Linked DNA regions of Lytechinus pictus. The protein of the gene in region 1 interacts with the protein of each later gene in a biochemical or structural test. Links are inferred from orthologs where the notes say so. Each region holds a gene or a part of one and is shown on either strand. Other genes may lie near its edges. The genes, in order: ADP-ribosylation factor-like protein 2; retinal rod rhodopsin-sensitive cGMP 3',5'-cyclic phosphodiesterase subunit delta-like; tubulin-specific chaperone D-like.

The links.
Region 2: the proteins of ADP-ribosylation factor-like protein 2 (region 1) and retinal rod rhodopsin-sensitive cGMP 3',5'-cyclic phosphodiesterase subunit delta-like are reported together in a solved structure, tested with the Homo sapiens proteins (2 studies listed by BioGRID and IntAct, with this or other methods). The link is inferred for Lytechinus pictus from reciprocal best matches to the Homo sapiens genes ARL2 and PDE6D.
Region 3: the proteins of ADP-ribosylation factor-like protein 2 (region 1) and tubulin-specific chaperone D-like form a complex in vitro, tested with the Homo sapiens proteins (2 studies listed by BioGRID and IntAct). The link is inferred for Lytechinus pictus from reciprocal best matches to the Homo sapiens genes ARL2 and TBCD.

Annotation. Positions count from the first base shown.
Region 1 is NC_087251.1:47,611,147-47,618,772, forward strand, and holds the start of ADP-ribosylation factor-like protein 2, read left to right. Parts: upstream 1-4,518; 5' UTR 4,519-4,564; coding exon of another isoform or gene 4,565-4,636; 5' UTR 4,637-4,774; coding exon 4,775-4,839; intron 4,840-7,626. Other genes in the region: CCAAT/enhancer-binding protein zeta-like, read right to left, coding at 4,565-4,636. UniProt on the Homo sapiens protein: Small GTP-binding protein which cycles between an inactive GDP-bound and an active GTP-bound form, and the rate of cycling is regulated by guanine nucleotide exchange factors (GEF) and GTPase-activating proteins (GAP).
Region 2 is NC_087258.1:10,978,864-10,985,926, reverse strand, and holds the start of retinal rod rhodopsin-sensitive cGMP 3',5'-cyclic phosphodiesterase subunit delta-like, read right to left. Parts: upstream 3,077-7,063; 5' UTR 2,523-3,076; coding exon 2,482-2,522; intron 1-2,481. UniProt on the Homo sapiens protein: Promotes the release of prenylated target proteins from cellular membranes. Modulates the activity of prenylated or palmitoylated Ras family members by regulating their subcellular location.
Region 3 is NC_087254.1:25,699,563-25,706,944, forward strand, and holds the start of tubulin-specific chaperone D-like, read left to right. Parts: upstream 1-4,368; 5' UTR 4,369-4,506; coding exon 4,507-4,599; intron 4,600-5,688; coding exon 5,689-5,790; intron 5,791-6,455; coding exon 6,456-6,608; intron 6,609-7,170; coding exon 7,171-7,226; intron 7,227-7,382.

The DNA.
Region 1 (7,626 bases):
CATACGGTTACATATACGGTATCTTATTTACATTGTTAGGTACTGACGATATCTTCATAAATACATTCACAATTATTTCATGAAATGTCACCATTGCCGTGGCTGTGACATTTAAAGCCTGAAAGCTATTACATAAGATATTGTTTGCACTTTGATATAATAGAGGTCAGATATATTCTTGTCATCTAATATAAACATTCCATTATTATGCACCATGTTTCAAAATGGGTAAGAAAATTACATTACCATCAGCATCCAGATATAAATTAGTCCATGATTAGACCAGGGAGATCGGAGTCTACCCCCTTTTTTTGGAATTTCTATTTTCTCAGCACATCGAAGTGAGGAAAAACCACCAAAAACCCTATATTGGTATTAAATGATAACCATTTATTGTAAACAACGTTTAGGACTGGGGGAATTGGGGGAGAGGGTATGGGGAGGGAGAGTATTTCATTTTCCAATAAAATGCAAAATTATAATATTTTCGTGAACATGAACAAATAAACAAAAAGTTAATAGCTCAATATCTTTATTGAATTGTTCAGTAGAACAATAATACTAGCTCTAATATTGTTAAAAACATTTCAGTCATTGTAATTACATGTGTTTCATCAATCTCAATATATTGACAATGAAAATAATTTTTTAATATAGAAAATATATTTTATATGACTATTGTGAATTTTAAATAATCCCATTTTAGATCGTTGATTAAACCACCTTTCTGTAAACAATCACTTTGATATCTCCTGTAAAATCAATTTTAGATAAAAAAATATTTTCTGTTAAAATTGATTTCTAAGATTCCTGTCTGAAAGTTGATGAAACACCTTAGCTCGAGTAAAAATGCATAATACAAAGATATTGAATACTCAAACTAGTGCTGCAAGTCAGGCGCCATGTTCGGGTTCGGTTCGGTTCGGCAAGGTTCGGCAGAAATTTGCCGAACATTGGTTCGGTTCGGGGTTCGGTAATGATAGACTGATAAGCTATAGTTCATTCAGGTATACGTAGCGTACCGGTAGACAATTTGTACTTGATTGACTGCATGTGCTCGCGCGTACCTCTGTCACATCAAACCATTTTATCTCTATCTTGTTGACATGAAACTATGAAAGTTATAGCGCTCAACGAATCAACTGTTATCTCGAATTTGATTATCTGATGACAGATTTATTGGGTAACTCACAGTTCTAAAATTGCGACTCTTCCTAGTCGTCCATACCTGGACCACACTTTGGATACTTGCCAAATTAACTACGCTCGCGATCGCACTCGTACCGTACCCGTACCAGCTAGGCCAGCGCATGCAGTCCCCTTGTAGCGGGACTCTGAGCTCATGAATATTTATATACTATACAGTCTAGTCCGGCCAAACGTGATTGGCAATTGCATCACATACGAGGCGGCCAGCGCCAGTGCATGCAGTGCACTGAACTGTAGGCATAGTAGGGCCAGGGGCGTGTCGAAGAAAGCGTGCTTATGTAATGCGCCTTTCGCTAATTGGCTCGATGGGTGAACTAAACCACCAATCGCATGTCGCTGATTGTCGCATCGGTACATACAGCCACGTGCTTTGTCTGCTCGCGAAACTCAGCTCACTGATTGAAGAGCAATTCCCGAGATTTCTATGATTTCATTGGTCAGATTTCATTCGACCATGAACATACAGACCAAGTGGGATGCAAAGTTTGGACAGGGGGAGTAGAGTGATCATCGAATTGTTTATGGTTAATTTGAGAAGTTGATAAGAAAGGGGAAAAAAGTAAAGATTGGGGGTCATTTCCCCCCAAGAGATGAATGTTTCCGCATGGCTTTATCTTCATTCAACTTGTCAACGAGGGGAAGTGGATCTTGCTATATGCTATACCGTAATCATTCATGAGTGTTTGATTTTTATTTTCATCTGATTGTTAATAATAAAAAAGATAACTTCACCTCATCTCATTTCTATATTATTTGTTTTGCGTCTCTCCTTTTCATCTGTAACAGTCACTCACTTTATTTCCCACTTTCACTGGATCTCTCGTTTTCAAAACTCTTTACTTCTCTCTAAAATCATGAAAACTAGACAGTACTGTAGCGAGCCGACACCTCAATAATAATGTCAATCATCTCAATCAGATCTTTATTCTCCGCGCCGCCGCAACAATACACGAGTTACGATCTTAATCACATCGTATCGTAATTCGTAATATTAATGGTACTTCATCTTTCACTTTCGGTTTATTGAGCTCGTTCATTCAAAATACTTTGAAGATTTTCAAACAAGAATCTTGTTCGCCACCTAAAAACAACAATATTTTAGATAATTAGATTTAACCAATGAACACTCATACAGTTTTGGTTTTCTTTACCATGCTTCGGCGATTCGGCCACAGAGCGAGAGATGATGAAAGCCAGTAAAATGATTATAGCGCAAGCTCGCGCAACATCATTCATCGGATCTCATTTCTTAATCAGGGCCGTAAAAACCACAATGTCAACATGAAAATGAAAACAAAATCTAGTAACCGCAAAATAAGCGCGTACTTCCAACATACAATTGCAAAGAAGATTAAATAGAGAATGCGCAAATATAATGATTAGAAAGGGTGTAAACTTATAAATTTGTTAGCTGAAAGCCGTTTTTTTTTTTTTTTTGCCGAACTTCCGAACCAAGTCTTAGTGTTCGGTTCGGTTCTGTTCGGTTCGGAAGTGCCATGTTCGGCGAACTACCGTTCGGTTCGGCGGTTCGGCTACAGCACTAACTCAAACTCTTATAATGATATTGTCCAGCAAAACAGAAAATTGTCAAATAGTTAATGAAAAATAATTGAATTATAAACCAACAATTAAGTCAAATAGAATATGAAAATTATAACACACAATCACGTCACATTCGTTCTCACTCTCGTAGCTGTAGGATGGGGGGGGGGGGGTTGGGCGTCCGGACACTATATTTTTGAAGCCTTCTTTTTTGTCTTTGCATTACACTAAAAGTATGAATTCAAGGGTTGTAATCATCTTGTTCTCCATAATATTTCCTAATATCTTGTATTAAAAATTGATGAAACTTCGCTTGTAAATTTTTCCAAATGACTTTCTAAAATTGATCGTCCGGACACACTACCTGTCCATACAACTGGGTAGACTCATGCTAGTCTAGAAGCACTCCCACACTCCAGACAAAGTGTCACAAGTACATGAATTCTCGTAAGCACACAGAAAATACAACTTATAATATGCTCTAATAAAATGTACTGCCTTTCAGGGTTCAAACATCCTACAAATACACTCTTTTAGAACATCAAATGATTCTATTAAAAAACAAAGTTAATTTACAGGACATTAATATACATGTATGAAGTCTGCGCCAAGCATCTAATCATAAGGCAGTCTACCAGGAAATTCATCTATCGCGGGGGCAACGCAGAATTCAGTACAGACAAGTATACATGTACATTATAAATACGCTGTGCACTGTACTCTATGCAAATACAATTTATGAAAGCGGCCTTCGGCCTTGCGTAACCAGATGAAAACCACATGTTTTGCTTAGACTTCGGACACTGCCTGCCGAAGTGCCGATATCATCCGAACATGCGCCCGAAATCTACACGCTGGCATCTTTACAGAGTGTTGTGCTCCGTGAGTCAGCCGATCGCGCGGTGTAAAGATTCTCACACACAGCGCTGGGCGAGGAAGGGAAGAGGGTCGCGCGATCAGCCAATCAGCGTGCAGGGAATCCGTCTACTGTGTGCCTATGGGGAAAGTTCTATGTGCCTGGGTTAACCCTGAACATGATCATATTGCTCATCTCACTATATATATAGACAGCTGGCAGCCGTCTGTTTCGAGGAGTTTTTTAACATTTTTTTATTTTTTAAATTTCTCCTCATACACAGACGGCTTGCTATCGTGCAGCCACCATTAGGGGACTTACAATGCAAAATCCCCCCGTCGGGGCTCTTAAATTTTTGTCTTTAATGAATCAAACTTTTGAAAATTAACGCGACCGAAATGCAAATTAATATTCCCTCTTGGGCTTGGCATTAATTGCCAAAAAACGGGGAAAATCAAGTTAAATGGAACAAAAACAGTGACTTACCTCGGCTGTCGCGCAACTTCACTGCCCTGTTTTATCCGAACTTAATACACATAAACATATGCCATGGCCATCATGGCCATTGGCATTGAGTCCCCTGTACAGATCGCGCTAGAACTTCGGTCTCTGTATTTGGTGAGTGAAGCCAACGGAGTTCAGCTGAACAACTAACATAATAGAGACCGAAGCTTTTGGTCTAATCTCACTAATAAAATCTCGAATGACGTAGACCGCGATCACACCACTGCACACTCATCCTACGAACGAGGACGAGGTTATAAAATATAAATCTACTAAGTTCTGCACAAGATTAGCCTAGCTCATCGACTGTAAAGTCAAACAACACACACAATCTAATTTATGGGACATCACAAAATAATTTTGTGCAACAAACTGAATTACACTGGGCTAAATATGCATTAGAGAACGGTTCAAAATATCATTAGTGTTATAAAAAGTAATCAAGGTACATACATCATCATTCTGATTCACATCAGTCGTGGAATTTTTGGTCTTGATCTTCTTTTTCATGTTTTTCGTCTTCATTTCTGCTCACGTGTAGTCAATGTGGATGACGTCATTAACAATATGAATATTCATTTCTTCAAATTGTGTGCAACTACTGCCGCTGCAAGCAAGAAGAGCTTTTGACTCGCTTTTGTTTTTGAGAGATAATCACTGGGAATGGGATTGCTAACAATTCTAAAGAAGATGAGACAGAAGGAGAAGGAGATGCGAATCCTCATGCTGTATCCTTTATTAAGTAATATAAATAAGGTAGATTTATATTGGTCTGGATTTTAGGTCTAATGAGTTAGGGGGCCTTCCTCCAAAATAACGTTTGAATTCCAGCTCGGTCCCATTCATTTGATTTAACAGGGGTGAGTTAGGTCTAACTTCCTATTAAACTAAGTTAGACTAGAGTCACTCATACTGACTTTTAAAGTATGTTTAAAATCATTAATCATCTTATCTACATCAGAGCTCCTTGTTGTTGTTGTTGTTGTGCTCCTTTCCTCTTCTTTGAAACCCAATTGGGTAATGCTTTTGACTGTTGAGCAAGACTGAGTTCAGCAAATAATTTTTTTTCATTTAAAACTAAAAACAAGCCCTGTCAAAAACTCAAAAGGCCATTAATGAATATGAATTATATCATACCAATCTTACTGAAGTGTAGAGGCCATAGTTAAATCTTCCAACTGTCTACTGATATTCTCTGAATCTGAGGAAATTTGAAATAGATCTAGACTTCACCTAGACCAAAAAGCTTCGGTCTTTTATTGGTTGTTCCGCTGAACAGCTACGTTGGCTCCACTCACCTAATACATAGACCGAAGTTCTAACTCCATCTGTACAGGGACTCAATAGCCATATGTTTATGTATAAGTTCGGATAAACCAGGGAAGTGGAGTTGCACGACAGCCGAAGTAAGTCACTGTTTTTCCCCCCTTTTTTAAGTTCATTTTTCCCGTTTTGGTGCATTTCAGGCCAAAACGGAATAATAATCTTTATTTTGGCCCAGTTCTTTTTACATATTTTTATGAAATAAAGACAAAAATTGATGTGCCCCATCGGGGGGGATTTTGCATTGTTTACCCCCTAATGGCGGCTGCAAGATCGCGAGCCGTCTGTGTACGAGGAGAAATTAAAAATTAAAAATGTTTAAACACTCCTGGAAACAGACGGCTGCCAGCTGTCTAGACTTCACCTATTAAAAAAAAAATCAAATGTTTCACTTTCAACAGTAGAGTAGGATATCCCAGACAATATCAAGTCAACTTTTTTCAACTTTGATATAATAATCAACACTTTGATTGTGGGCATCAACAGAAAGACAAGACAAGACAAATCTGAAATATCTGGTGCCCTTTCTCTGTATTTTTTTCTCATAAAGATGGGTCTTTCAGCACTTATCATATTAATTTGATTATTGAATATTTGAAAGCAATAATCATAGTCACAGAAATATATCACAGAGTTTCTGCTCATTCCATGCTTTGGAAGAGGTTTCATGTTTTAGCTATTAATGAATTGGGGATTTACCGAAACTAAAGACAGGCTTTGACCATGATAATTATTGCTCATGTAAGATGGTTATTTTGTCATTTTCTTATTTTGCTTATTTCCTTTAACTTGTGTCAGGGCGCGACAAACCCGCTTGCCCGGGGCAAGTGAAAATGACGGGCGGGCAAGCATTTCTCAAAGTCAATTGCCCGATCGGGCAAGTGGTTGTTTTGAAAATAAAATAATAAAATGTCAGTGATAATCACAACTGTCCATGCTATCTCTCATATATTGTCAAACCAGTCAAAAAACAGTGGAAACTGATGTAAAATCAGCGCCAAATACAGATAATTTATCGCCAGGTACCTCGTTCGAAGAACCGTGCCATCTCATCTTACGTTCTATGTGCGCATGCGCTACTATCTTGCTACTATCCAAAAAAAAAAAAAAAAAAAGGCAAACGTGGCTAAAATTTCACATTTTTAATCTTTAAATACATGAAATGGACGTCTATTTTCCATATTACCTTGAGATTGTTTTGATATAGTTGGAAACAACCGAAAAAATGAAGAATATTCAGCTCTTTCTTGACTCTGATTTTGATGATGTTACACTCGGTAAATGTTTTTTCTTATTGTTGTCCCACATGTAGACTTTCATGGTGTTGAACAAGTGTTAATGTTGCAACACCATGAAAGTCTACATGTGGGACCACAATATAAAAAAATATTGACCGAGTGTAACATCATAATACGATGATGAAAAGACAAGAGAGAGGTGAATATTCTTAATTTTCTTGATAGTTTCCAACAAAATCAAAACAATTTCAAGGAAATATGGAAAATAATTGGCATGGATTTAAAGATGCAAAATGTGAAATTTTAGCCACTCCAGTTGGTGAAGGCCTTTTTTTTCTTTTCTTTTTTACATCATAAAACGATTTTTTCCAGAATCAAGAAAGAGCTGAATATTCTTCATTTTCTTAATAGTTTCCAACTAAATCAAAACAATTCCCAGGAAATGTGGCAAACAGATGACCATTCATGGATTTAAAGATGCAAAATATGAAATTTTAGCAACTTTTGGGGAAGTTTTTTTTTTTTTTTTAAACTTTTTTATACCTTTAACGCCCATTTAGATCTACTAGTACTATAGCAAAAGTTTTTTTCTTCAAAATAAACGTAATGACTCAGGCCTACTTTGCTGAAAATATACTTATAATTATAAATGTGTGTTCTTTACTGTACATGATTCTCAATTGTTTTTATTTTATATGACCTTCATAAATAATAATAGTACCGTCGTAAAAAAGAACGAAAGAAAATAATAAAACAAATTGGGCAAGCAGTTTTTTCTATCGGGCAAGCAAATATTTTCATCACTTGCCCGACAGGGCAAGTGATGAAAAAAAAATTTGTAGAGGCCTGTTGTGTTTTTTCAGCTGTTTTACATTTCTGTTCAGTCTAGACTTGAGTTCATTTCCATTTGTTTGCAGCACCGCCCTTGCAATTTGAACTTATTTGAGTTTAATG
Region 2 (7,063 bases), on another chromosome or scaffold:
GCGCATCCCGCAAAATCATGCCAAGTTTCTTTTTCTCTGTATTGTACTTAAGAGCCAAGTTATATGATCATGATGATTAGCTGCAATGGAATCAGACAGTGTCAAACAATCAAGCATTTGTTCCAAAGAAAAAGAGAAAATAAACCAAACATTGCCAACCTTATTTTGCCACACATGGAGTACTAAAAACAGAACAAGGTTATAATTATATCATACCCTTGTTCATTGAATGAGTGGGTCTAATGAAATATTTTCAATTTTTTGATAAAAAATCTAGATCTAGGCCTAGCCCTAGATAGTAGATCTAACTTAGGCCTAGTCAGATCTAGATTAGAATCTAGGCTAGACCAAACGCTACGGTCTCTGTCATACTGTATTGGTTGTTCCGCTGAACTCCGTTGGCTCCACTCACCAATTACAGAGACCGAAGTTCTAACTCGATCTGTACAGGGACTCAATGGCCATATGTTTATGTATTAAGTTCTGATGAACCAGGGAAGCGGGAGTTGCACTACAGCCGAGTCACTTTTTTCCCCTTTTAAGTTTATTTTTCCCTGATTTGGTGCATTTCTGGCCAAAAAGTAAAAATAATCTTTATTTTGGTCCAGTTCTTTTTATATATTTTTATGAAATAAAGACAAAAATTGATGAGCCCCGTCAGGGGTATTTTGCATTGTTAACCCCCTAAATGTGGCTGCACGATCGCGAGCCATCTGAGTACGAGGAGAATTTTTTTTAATGTTAAAAAAACTCCTTGAAACAGACGGCTGCCAGCTGTCTAAATCTACACAAGACTTGGAATGAAATACCTAGATCTAGTACAACTTACAAGTCAAGTCTAGAATAGTCGCCTAATAAAAAGATTATAAAATGGCTTACATGTATCTGTAGTACTGAACGATAAAAAGTGTTAAAATTCATAGGAAAAAAAAGAAAGAGTTCATATGCACCCCCACCAAAAATAACAAGATTGTTGAGACTTCTGGTTTGTTCACTTCAGATTTTTCTATCATTTTTTTACTGTTGCTTTCCTTAGTTGGGACTCACCTCGTTTTATTTGCAGTCAAGACCGTTCCCGCTATGCTAGTGAGAAGCGCCGATACCGGAAGTGGTATTTTAACGATTATCAAACGATAGTTCGACTAGTCTCGACTCACAGACCCTTACTGACTAAATAAACCGATGTCTATGGACAATTACACGCACTAGATCCTGCTCGAAATTTGACGGAATAAAGCCATATTTTGGTATGTATTTCCACTCCCTCATCACATAGATCTATGTTCTATATTTAGGGCTAGATATATTATTCTGAACCTTCTCCATGTTTTTATTTTCAATTATAGTGGGGGTGCTATGGAACTCTTACCCAAAAAAATGGCCCCCCCCCCCCCACGCCCAATCTGATTCTGACTTAACCCAGGGAGCTTACCGTGTATTTGACCATACTCACGGGACTAGCGTGATTTATGGTCTAAATATTTCTCCAAATGAATTGTGAAAACAGAAATTATGCACTTACATGTAGGCCTACCACGATTATATGGATGAAGGTCTAACGAGTGGCAGTTTCCTGACAACGAGGCACAGACTGGAACTTCAAAAAAACGAAAAGTTCTCTCCTTCTACCCCCGTCTCAATCAGCCATTTTTGTTATGAATCGTAACAAAATGGCCGATCGAGACTGGGGTTGAAGGAGAGAACTTTTCGTTTTTTTGAAGTTCCAGTCTGTGCCTCGTTGTCAGGAAACTGCCACTCGTTAGACCTTCATCCATATAATCGTGGTAGGCCTAAGTGCATAATTTCTGTTTTCACAATTCATTTGGAGAAATATTTAGACCATAGAGCCCAGGGGCTTACCGAGTAATTCGCCATACCCCACGGTAGTAGCGTGAGGTATGGTCTAAATCATTTTAAGAGTAAATAGTTAAAACAGAAATTAAGCACTTACCACGATTATATGGATGAAGGTCTAACGAGTGGCAGCTTCCTGACATCTAGGCACAGAGTGACAGACTGGAACCTCAAAAAACGAAAAGTTCTGTCACGGTAGCTTTCCTTCTTTCAGAATTCATAGCAAAATGGCTGTTCGAGACCGGTACCGAGGGTGTAGGGCGCATGCGCGAATTTGACAAAGTCTATATGCGCTAGTGCTATAGCCTCGGTCTCGATCGGCCATTTTGTTTTGAATTCTGAAAGAAGGAGAGCTACCGCGACAGAACTTTTCGTTTTTTGAGGTTCCAGTCTGTGCCTCGATGTCAGGAAGCTGCCACTCGTTAGACCTTCATCCATATAATCGTGGTAAGTGCTTAATTTCTGTTTTAACTATTTACTCTTAAAATGATTTAGACCATACCTCACGCTACTAGTACCGTGGGGTATGGCGAATTACACGGTAAGCCCCTGGGCTCCGGCCTGCTGCGCGGGCCGGAGCTCCCTGGGTTAGCTAGTCCCGTGAGTATGTGATTTGGAAAAGGATACACTTTGAAACCTTTTAAAATATCTTCTGCTCTACTAGGCATTTTGACTAAGGGTTCGTTGCAATTTATCTCAAACTGAAAATAACATTCAAGATCCAAAAATACGTCTTCCAAATTCCGCAATAGGATGTCAATGGGCCGGTGAATTCGGGCCACCACGCAGGCGCAGGCTCGGCAGACGGCACAGCCACAGGTCGGGTCGAAGCTCAATCCACGGGGGTCCTCTCGTCGTCTCGATCAGGCAACAACGAAAACTTAAACGACGTAGATGTAGATCTATACAAGTGTTTTCTTCAATTGGTATCAACACTGTTTTTCTGTAAGATCGTTCCAAAAAGCACAGTTGGTTATTCACAGTGGCCCATATCCTTGTACCAAATTGAATAAAACGTAGACTTGATATTGATGGTAGTCGACCGGTCGATGCTCAACTCCATCCCTTATTTCATGCATTGCATACTTCCTTTTTGCTAGCTGCTATAGGTAAAACAATCTCTAAGTTTAATCCATTACTTTGTACACAAGTCTACGTATTTCGGGATTCAGATTGTATGAAGTTAGCAGCTAGCTTTCTGCAGCGTTAATGTCACCCGGTAACAGCCGCATCACTCTAAACTATATCATTCCGCTTGGATCGTTTTCGTTTTATTTATAATTTTCCCAATTATGAGGTAAAATTTTTTGAGAAAATGATCGTCAGATATTTTTTTATTGAATAAAACCCAATATAATTTCTAAATACATTGGGATTTAGTATCCAAACCTGCTACATGGGATTATGTTTCTGTGTGTAAACAGGGTGAATTGATACTTAAAATTGCGCCAGTAGATGTCGCTCGTTCTAAATACTAAAAAAACTATATAGAGTGGATTATTGTAACTGGGATCTTCCTCCTCCTCCTCCTCCCCCGGGGGGGGGGGGGGGGGAGTCAAATACTACTGTACACATGCGTGACCAAAAACAAACGCGTATAAAGGGGTGGTTTTTTTTTCAGTTTTGGACACGGGCCGCAGGATCAAAAACACCGATTTTTAAGAAAAAGGGTGGTTTTGAAAGACTGGTCAATGGTCAATCGCGATTGATTTGGTAGTGAAGACCTTTTTTTTGGTTGTCAAAATTTTCCTGTACAAAATGCCCCCAGGCTTTCGGAGAATCCTCGATCCGTACCTGATATACAAGGGGCCGCGGAACGGTTGTGAAAGTGGGGGGGGGGGCTGACCATGCAAAAAATCATAATCAGATGGTAATTTTTACGTTTTTGTACACGGTTTTTGAAAAAAAAAATCTGAAGCCCCCGGCCCCCGCAGCCCCCCGTTTCCGCGGCCCCTGTATACAGTGCGTCCCAGAAAAAAAGGAAACCGTGATTCAGTTTAAAGTTTTTCCTATCATGATCATAAATTTGCTTCATAAAATGTACATGAATGGAAATATTATGCTTTCGATCTTCTTTGAATTTTTAGACCCATCTTAACGTTCATAATGCTCGCATGAGTGAGTTAGAACGATAGAAAATGATGCTATACCACATTTTCATTTGCACGAGCAGATTACGATTTTGGGTGAATTTTTTCTTTTTTTACTGCTTTTACTGCTATCTATTCGGAAATATCCACCTTTTCCTCTTTCATAATGAGACCTTATGCGTAAAATATGAATGATGCATGCATTGGCCGAGAAAAGTTGCACGAATTCGACTGATCGTTTGAAAAACAAGCATTTCGTTTTCCCATCAAAGCAGAAGACAATATAGGCTAACGGTGAATACTGTTCGGGCTAGGAAAACTCCCTTCATTGTTGCTGACCTGAGTCTATGGCTACGGGAATTCAATGTTACAATCGCAATAATTTTCATATTTTCTTTTCTTTAACTTCCCCAGTCGTATAATTCGTTGTTACATTTCACAGGGGTGGTAGACATAATTTAAAAAGTCCACAAATAATAGGGGGGACATTTGATATTGGGTGCCCCCTTTCCAAATGGTAGGGGGAAGCGCCCCCTGTCCCCCTGGGATTTCCGCCCATGTGCAGCACAACTCTCTATGGTGCAGAAAGCTAGACATGAGAGTGACATGGAAAAGATATAGTCATTTGAGCTGTGGGTCTGTCTGGCGCAGAATGCTCCAGGTCAGGCGGAGAGAGGATAATAATAATGATGATGATAATAATGATGATAATGATAATAATAACTAATAATAATATCATTATCATTATTATTATTATTATTATCATTATACTACTACTACTACTACCAATGATAATAATAACAATAATAATAATGATAAAGTGAAAGTCACTCTTGATCCACTCTTGATCCATGCAATTTAGAGTGCTTTGATATAGGATTGTAGTGTTAATTTATATATTTTACTCACAGAGGTTTATTTATTTTGTTATTATTTTTTTACTTTTCTTTTGTTTGTTTATTTTGGCTGTTTTTTCTTAATAGTTTAATGGGATATAGGCCTATCCTTTTTGTAATAAAAAAAAACACTTAAAAATAGTGTTGCAATCTTTATATTCTCTAAATTTTAAAGGATTTAAAATAGAACCAGGGGTCCGTTGCAGAAAGAGTTGCGTTCAAACGCAAGTCAAATAATCAATCGCAAGCCCATCGCAAGTCCCAAATGCGCGCTGTTGATTGGTTGAAAATCAAGTTGCGCATGATTTTTAGAGTTGCGATTGATTGCAACTCTTTCTGCAACGGGCCCTGATCTGCTATGAATATAGTGGTTACACTTCGTAATTCCGAAGATTCTTTATTCCGAAGGTTCGTTATTCCGAAGAATCGTAATTCCGAAACACGTAAATTGCCTATACCTCGATGTTCGTTAATCCGAAAACGAAAAAGGGTTCGTTAATCCGAAAATTTGTAGCGTTATTCCGAAGATTCGTACTTCCGAAGGTTCGTTAGTCCGAAAACGAAATAAGATTCGTTATTCCGAAGGTTCGTTCATCTGAAAACGAAATAAGGTTCGTTGTTCCGAAGGTTCGATAATCCGAAAACGAAATAAGGTTCGTTAATCCGAAAACGAAATAAGGTTAATCGTTTTTCGAAGGTTCGATAATCCGAAAACAAAATAATGTTCTTTATTCCAAAGAAGAGTATAAGCGTGGTGGAGGGGGGGGGGGGAACACCGTTGCTGTTCAATTGTTATGAGGATGTGGAGGCAAAAAGAAGAACGGCGGAGCAAAGTAGAGCAAAGCCTTTTTTAAAGAGATTTCTGATTATGGTAAGATATATATTTAGGCTTTATTTTTCGCGAGAGAGTGTAACAAGCGAGCGGTTTGGAAAAGTTTTCAAAGCTGATGTTGTAAAGCTCGTATTTTTGTCAACTGTCAATAGGGCATCCTTGAAAGGTGTTGCGAGCGTAAATCGCAAGCTCAAACTTTTGGACATTTCAATAAGAAATGAAAATAAAACATTCTGAGCAGTTTTTGCAATCATTAAAAAGATGTGCATCTAACTGAAGAATTAACACGAGCGCGAAGTGCCAGCCGAATAATGACCAGAAAAGGAACCTGTTAATTAAGGACATGCGTTTAGTGACTCATGAATAGGATACATCGAATAATGCGAGTGCGAAGCGCGAGCTAATAAGATATTTTAGTTTGCAAACTGGACATTCTAAGCCTTTTTATAACCGAAAATGGTGAGTACCTCACTAAACAATGAATGATAACAATGACCAAAAAATTGGGATTTTCTAATCTAAAATGAAAAATGTATACTTTAAAAAGGGTATTTCATAAAAAAAAACGGCACATTTTATTTTGGAAAATACAAGGGAATTTCCCATTTTGGAAAAATAGTATTTCGTTCCTACGGGGTTTATTATTGTTAGTTTTTTTTTGGGGGTGCAAGTGCCCCCTGTGCCCCCCACCCGCTTTCACCGCCCCTGGGGGAAGGGGTTGATCAATCGTTATCAGGGGCGTTTACGTACGCAGAATTCTCTGAAAGGGATGATCATAGGCTTATGAGGCTATAGTTCATGTTTTCTCTCATTGCTAGACCTGCAAATTTATTTGATTATTCATTTTATTTATCCAATTTAAACGTAAATAAAGGTACATGATACAAAGGCGCAAGGATCAAACTGAGCATGTTTACGATAAGTACAACTTAAAACACAGACTACAGAACATCAAACAAATAAAATATAAATGCATTCAAAGAGAAAACTACTATTAACCTATTAACGAAAACCAGTATGAGAGCAGATAGAAGTTATCAAATCAAATATCGATAGGGGCGCGTTGATACATTTTTAAATTGTTTTGTCAAAGTTGAAAATGTCTATTAAAAGATCCATTCTTGATTAAAATGTTTACCACTTATAAACCCAATTTTTTTAATCGCTCTGCGGGGGGGGGGGGTTGATTGTTTCTACCAGAATAGGGGTGATAAAGACCCCTTTTTTGTCTTTTTCTTAACATTTTCGGATTAACGAACCTCATTTCGTTTTCGGACTAACGAACCTTCGGAATTACGAACATCATTTCGTTTTCGGAGTAACGAACCTTCGGAATTACGAACCTTATTTCGTTTTCGGACTAACGAACCTTCGAAATTACGAACCTTCGG
Region 3 (7,382 bases), on another chromosome or scaffold:
ATGGTAGGCCTACTAATTTTAGGAAAAACAAATTGTCTGCCCCCAAAGCATGAATAGACAACAAAAGCAGAGAAAAAGACAACCAAATAAAGAATGTGTGGCCAAAAGTGTGATTTTGGAGGGCTTTGGCATACCTGCCAACCATTCCGATTTTGGCGGAATTATACTGATTTTTCGACCTCCATTCCAAATTTTAAAACCAAAATTCTGATTTTTGGGTTAATCAATATAGTGTTGAAATTATTGAAACGGCTGTATAATGCGACTAACGCATGCACGGCTGTAAGATGCGACTAACGCATAAACGACTGGAGCGCACGGCTAGGCAAATGCGCTAGCTACACGATATACACAGAGAGCGACTTTAAACGGCGCGCGAACACTGCTAAGTGCGCAGTTCCATTGCAAATACATGTGAAAATTAACAAGCATACACGCAATGGCAGCACTTAGGGCGCTACATTTTGAGGTGTTGTCGTTAGCGTTGACTTCCGGAAAAAAATGGCGGCTGACATTGGCTAGCGAAAGAGCCAATTTTTAGTGAGGACATGTTTTCATAATCCACGAACATCGGAAAAACCGTGAAAGAGTAACCTTTTTAGACCCCTTGTTTCCTAACTACGATGTTAAGAATCACCGATGGTGATATTTTTGACGCGAAACAAGGTGATTTAGGTAAGAAAATTTCACTTTTTATTTGAGGTTTTTGCCCATGTCGCCGGATGATTTTGTAGTGTGGGAGTGAGTTAGTGATGTATCGTACATATCTAGAGTGTGTTGGTGATTACAGTGGTATATCGCTGAGTCTGCTGATGATATGAACGGCAGGTCGTTGAACACCGGCCCCCGCCCGGCCGCGTACCGACGCAATTAAGTTAGATCTATCCCTACGCAATTTTAACATTGATCTGTACTTTATTTTTCGAATAATTGTCAATTTTTTGAGGAAGAAAGATGATAAACTTTCGATCTCGGGTTGAGCCTTCAGAGCCGAACGCCAAATCTACTTTACTTGCTTCGCTTGCCTAAACCATGCCTGAACTCCCGGCGCCCGCCCAGTGGCTGCGCCTCAGCCTCCCCGTCTTATACCAGCGCTCCGTTTTTTTCATGGTTGAAAATCTGCTTTCTTCTACCAACAAGCACTTATCAAATGTAGGTTATCATTAGTTATGATATAACCTTGTCCTCAGTCAGTAACCCCTGTGTGGTGAAATAACATGAATAAGACAATGTCAATGTTTGGCTTATTTTCTCTTGATGCATGATTGATAGGCTGGATAATAAATGTTTGATTTTTTGGCTTGTCAGTTTTTAATACAGTAGGGATAACTTATCTAAATTCATCATAAAATCTTGTAATTATTTTTTTTGTCTAATTGAAAATAGAATGTGTGGAGATGAAGATCTGCATCAATCTCACTTTCCACCAATAGAGGGCCTCACAAAAATATGCTCAAAATCAAAGTTTTTAGAGAGCTCTGATGAACAAGAAAAATTATCCCTAAGTCTATATAGATATATCACACCTGAATGAAACTGGGTGGTTTATGTCACAAAAGTGATATTTTAAAGACCTTTTTTAAATTTTTAATTGATAAATAAAGGTAGACTCTACATGTAGGTCATCCTCTGATGTGGTAATGAGGGTAAATTTGCTTTAAAAAGTGTAGGGAAATGCTACTTTTACATGCTGAAAATGCAAAGAGTCCCTATACCGTTGGAGCGGACCGGACACCCGCTCGGTGCCCTCGGAACTTTGATACTGATTTTTTATTATCAAAGGTTGGCAGGTATGCTTTGGCGGCCATTTCGGAAATTGGCCAAGCACACTTTTTTCTTGGACCCGAGACAAAAAATATCATTTCATGTTCAGATAAATTTCAAGGAATAAAAAAAAACTCCATACTAAAATGACCAAAAAGTATTTTTGACACATGTATAGCCCACTCCTATTATCATAGGAATGGTGTATTATGTGAGTAATTATTCAACAGTTGTTTTTGTCTCACCTGCATAGCAGAGTGAGACTATAGGCGCCGCTTTTCCGACGGCGGCGGCGGCGTCAACACCAAATCTTAACCTGAGGTTAAGTTTTTGAAATGACAGCATAACTTAGAAAGTATATGGACCTAGTTCATGAAACTTGGCCATAAGGTTAATCAAGTATTACTGAACATCCTGCCTGAGTTTCATGTCACATGACCAAGGTCAAAGGTCATTTAGGGTCAATGAACTTAGACCATGTTGGGGGAATCAACATCAAAATCTTAACCTAAGGTTAAGTTTTTGAAATGTCATCATAACTTAGAAAATATATGGACCTAGTTCATGAAACTTATACATAAGGTTAATCAAGTATCACTGAACGTCCTGCATGAGTTTCACATCACATGACCAAGGTCAAAGGTCATTTAGGGTCAATGAACTTTGGCCGAATTGGGGGTATCTGTTGAATTACCATCATAACTTTGAAAGTTTATGGATCTGATTCATGAAACTTGGACATAATAGTAATCAAGTATTACTGAACATCCTGTGCAAGTTTCAGGTCACATGATCAAGGTCAAAGGTCATTTAGGGTCAATGAACTTTGGCCAAATTGGGGTATTTGTTGAATTACAGCCATAAATTTGAAAGTGTGTTGGTCTAGTTCATAAAACTTGGACATAATAGTAATCAAGTATCACTGAACATCCTGTGCGAGTTTCAGGTCACATGATCAAGGTCAAAGGTCATGTAAGGTCAAAGAACTTTGGCCACGTTGGGGGTATTTGTTGAATTGCCATCATATCTCTATAAGTGTATTGGTCTAGTTCATAAAACGTGGAAATAAGAGTAACCAAGTATCACTGAACATCTTGTGCGAGTTATAGTAGTTTTCAAAATCAGCACTGCTGCTATATTGAATCGCGTGATGCAGGTGAGACGGCCAGAGGCATTCCACTTGTTGAAAGTCAGCACTGCTGAGCTCGCATAATGCAGGCGAGACTACCAGAGGTGTTTCACTTGTTAAGGTCAGTGACATGGAAAAGTCTTCTGATGTGTACACCAGCAGAATTTGATGGAACTGCCCTATAAAATTGCCTAAGTGTGATTGCCATTTACATTGTATGGTGTCATATCTTTTAGTTTTGGTGTCATATCTTATCTTGAGTAGATTTTAACAGAGTTTGTTCATGAATATCTGGCACATTTCCCTGAATAGTAATAATATGCAGCATTTATATAGCGCTTTATACATTGTTTCTAAGTGCTGCATGCTATTACCCTAGCTTAAAGGGATGGTCCGGGCTGAAAGTATTTATAGCTTAATAAATAGAGTAGAATTCACTGACCAAAATGCCGAAAATTTCATCAAAATCGGATTACAAATTACAAAGTTATTGAATTTTAAAGTTTAGCAATATTTTGTGAAAACAGTCGTCATGAATATTCATTAGGTGGGCTGATGATGTCACATCCCCTCTTGTTCTTTTGTATATTATTATATGAAATTAGGTTTATTCAATTTTTTTTCCTCCAAGAACTAGAATTTTGGATTGACAACTGATTTAGTGCATTATATATTGATTGCTGCAACTTATTTCATTATAAGGGAGACATATTTTTCACACAACTATGAAATAATGAAAATATTATGATTTTATGTAATAACATAAGAAATCGGAAAGTGGAGATGTGACATCATCAGCCCACCTAATGAATATTCATGACGACTTTTCACAAAATATTGCTAAACTTTAAACTTCAATAACTTTGTAATTTGTTATCCGATTTTGCTCAGTGAATTCTACTCTATGTATTAAGATATAATTATTTTCAGCCCGGACCATCCCTTTAAGCATGGCTACTCTAATCAGGCGTTCTAAGAAATTTAAAGAAATTTCTTCCTTCTGGATACCCATTTACTACATCTGGGTGGAGAATGGCAATTGTAGATAAACGCCTTGCCAAAGTACGCTAGTGCTGCGGTGGGATTCAAACCCTGGACCTTGTGGTTCAGAGTCCGGAGATGTATCCGCTCACTGAGCCAGAACACCACTTTCATTCCTACTTTCAGTGAATAGCCACTTTCACTGAGCTACTCTTGTCTGTCGCTCAAGCATGCACGGAATTCCTTCCTACCACGTACCCATTTACTACACCTGGTTCCCGTTGCATATAAGTTACTATTGTAATAACTTTGCCATCCAGTGGTGACTACCATAATATTAACGCTAATCAACGGCCAGTCAAAATCAAGGATTTCAGGAAAGTTGGCATTGTATAGCAGAGTTACCATAATAGTATTTTTTATGCAACAGGACCCTGGATGGAGAGTGGGAAATGTATATAAACACCTTGCCAAAGTGTGCAAGTATTGTGGCAGGATTGGAACCCTGGATCTTGTGGTTCAGAGTCCAGAGACTAATCCACTGAGCCAGAACAACACTTTCTTTCCTACTTTCAGTGATAGTGGATGAATACCAGGAGCAGCCTCATTTACTGGACCCGTACCTAGAGGAGATGGTCCTGGACTTCCTCTCCATTGGTAGAGATATGAATGTCGACAGGAAGCTCTCTCATCTTGCCTTCAAATTCCTCTATCTACTCACAAAGGTAACGATCCATCCAGATATTAGATGAGCAGAATAGGATCATGATTCATAAAACTCTTTGTAAAATTACAATGAATATCTAGATTATAATCTATAATGTGACCCCCAGAATTCTCTTGACTATTTAACATAGTGTGATTTTATATATTAAGAAAAATAATATACTTTCTTTTGCTATCAAATGTATTCATATTAACAAGGGTTGACAGTAGTAAAGAATGTTTACAATACAATTGAAAATATATCACATTAAGCTTACCATAATTCAAATTTTTATAAAGTGATTCATAACAATGCAAACAACATGAACAAACAGCTGGTCTGAGCTAATATTTAAGTTATGAGCATTCATAGAAAAATAATTATTCTTGCACCACCATATATTTCTCATTTATCCCTGCCCATTATTATATGATATGCCCTTATGTGATTCGTAGGTATGCCTTTATATTTGTAGTGGAAATTTGAATGTGAAAGTTATTACTGCTATTTTTCTTCATATTCTTGATCAGAAGTTGAATATTTTGGTTATTCCCAATGTATAATCTTCGTAAAGAAACCTTCCTTTTATGGCTTACATAAATGTATTTTTATTGAATTTACAGTCCGTGTGGTAAAAATAATATTCATGCAGGGTTCCATTGTATACTGTAGTTACTGTTCATAGTAATAATGCCTTCCAGTGGTAAGTACCATGATAGTAGTAAACAACAGCCAATCAAACAAGAGGATTCCTTGGAAGTTACTATTGGATGGCAAAGTTTTCACAATGGAAAAAAACCGTGTCAGTTTTGGAAATTGGAATGATTTGGCATTTACAATTAGTCAGTCTCCATCACTACCTGTTTTCAGAAAGGCACTAAAATATTTTAAAAACCCATCTCTTTTATAGAAGCCTGTAGTTTAAAGATGATATACATGTAGTTCCATGCATTGTATGCATTGGATTCATTGTATAAAGCGCTCTTAGCCTAACAGAAAAAGCACATTATAATGATGACAACAATAACGGGGCCCAGAATATACACTGTATTCTTTTCCTGGTCAATTGCCCATGTGTATTGCATGAATAAATCACCTTTCTTTGCAGGCCCGTGGACCAAAGGTCATCGTGAGGCTGTTACCCCATGAGGTCGTGGATCTGGAACCCACCCTAGCTCTTCTTAGTGCTCAAGATCCTAATGATTATGAGGTATTATTAGTGAAAGTATTTTTACGATAATTGTCAGAATTATATGGTGACGGTTATTGATGCTTCAGCTTGGGGCTTTCTTCATGAATATACATGCATATTTTTGTACCAAGTCTATATAGCTAAATTACAGTATCAACTTAATCCATTGGAAAACGTACCTGTCAAGTCAAGTAAAGCGACAAGCGACAAGAAATCATTAATATCTGATTGTTAATTTCATAATCAATTATAGAAAAGGTACTTAAACCAAGTTATCAGTTATGAGAGATGCTTTGAAATCAAGCTTAATACTATTTGAGTTGTAGTAGAATGTTGATCCATTAAGTATCACCATGTTTGCATACAAATCCAGAATTTATGTATTCTGTCATAGTGACATATTTGTCTCTCGGCATATAGGTTTCTTTTTTGGAGAAACATCTCCCTAAAACTGGATTGGGCTTTAGGTGACCTTCATGTACCATCCAAAACATTAACATTATTGTTTAAGATTGAATACCTCTTTCTCTGATTTCTTTTATTATTTGAATGGAATTTGAAAATATTCATCTTTTCTATGAAAATTACTAAGCAAAATCCAGATTTAAAAGTGTTATATTTGCGTATTATGTAGGTAACTGACCATCGTGTAATGATTAGCACATCCACTTTTTTAATTCCAGACCTGGGAGTCTCGTTACATGCTGTTACTGTGGATGTCTATGATATGCATGATACCATTTGATATGTCCAGACTGGACAGTGGTGTGGCCGGAGCAGGTGACCAACAGATCAAGAATCTACCTACTATGGACAGGATACTCAATGTGGCAAAGGTCAGTATTAAAAGAGAATGAAATCTGGTATGAGCAGAGAGCAAAGAGAGAATACTTTTAATTATTTCCGTCAGAATTATTCTTGGAATGAGAAAGTAATTATAGTCACATAAGTATCAATTTACTTTCTTTAGTGATTTTAGATTGGCAATGTTGCTTCAAAATGATGGGTATGGCTTTAGAAATCTCAATATGTTTTGTACACAAAATTATGCAATATCTTTCAAAATGCAGCTTGTCTCCTTAGCTCAGGATATATTAATCTTGATGCATGCTTCCTTTGATTTCAGATGATGTACATTTGACATTTGTGAAAACAAATCCATGTTATGCATGCTTTTGCACAAGACTCGGACAAGGGAGATGCATGCTGAATTGTATAGAAGATAATTATGTTGACTTGCAAATCGAACAGTTCTCTTTGTTAGTGGGTGGCAACGTTTCAAGTTAAATCAATGTTTTTGAATTATGATAAACCGTATACCATTAATCAATCCCCTGTGTTTGAAGATGATACAATATGTTCATTTCATTTAATATTTGCTGTTGTTTTTTTCTAAAGGTATATCTTGGGATGAGCGATAAATGTCGAGACGCTGCTGCTTTTTTGGTTTCAAGGTAAGATGTCATAGAGTGGTAGAAAGTGGTTATTTAGAATAAGAATGAAATAAACATGCTGCCCTTTGATTTTAACATTAATTTTGTAAATCAGCTGTGAACAAAAACCTAATGTCATGAATGACAATCAACAAGTGATTTCACATATTTCATATC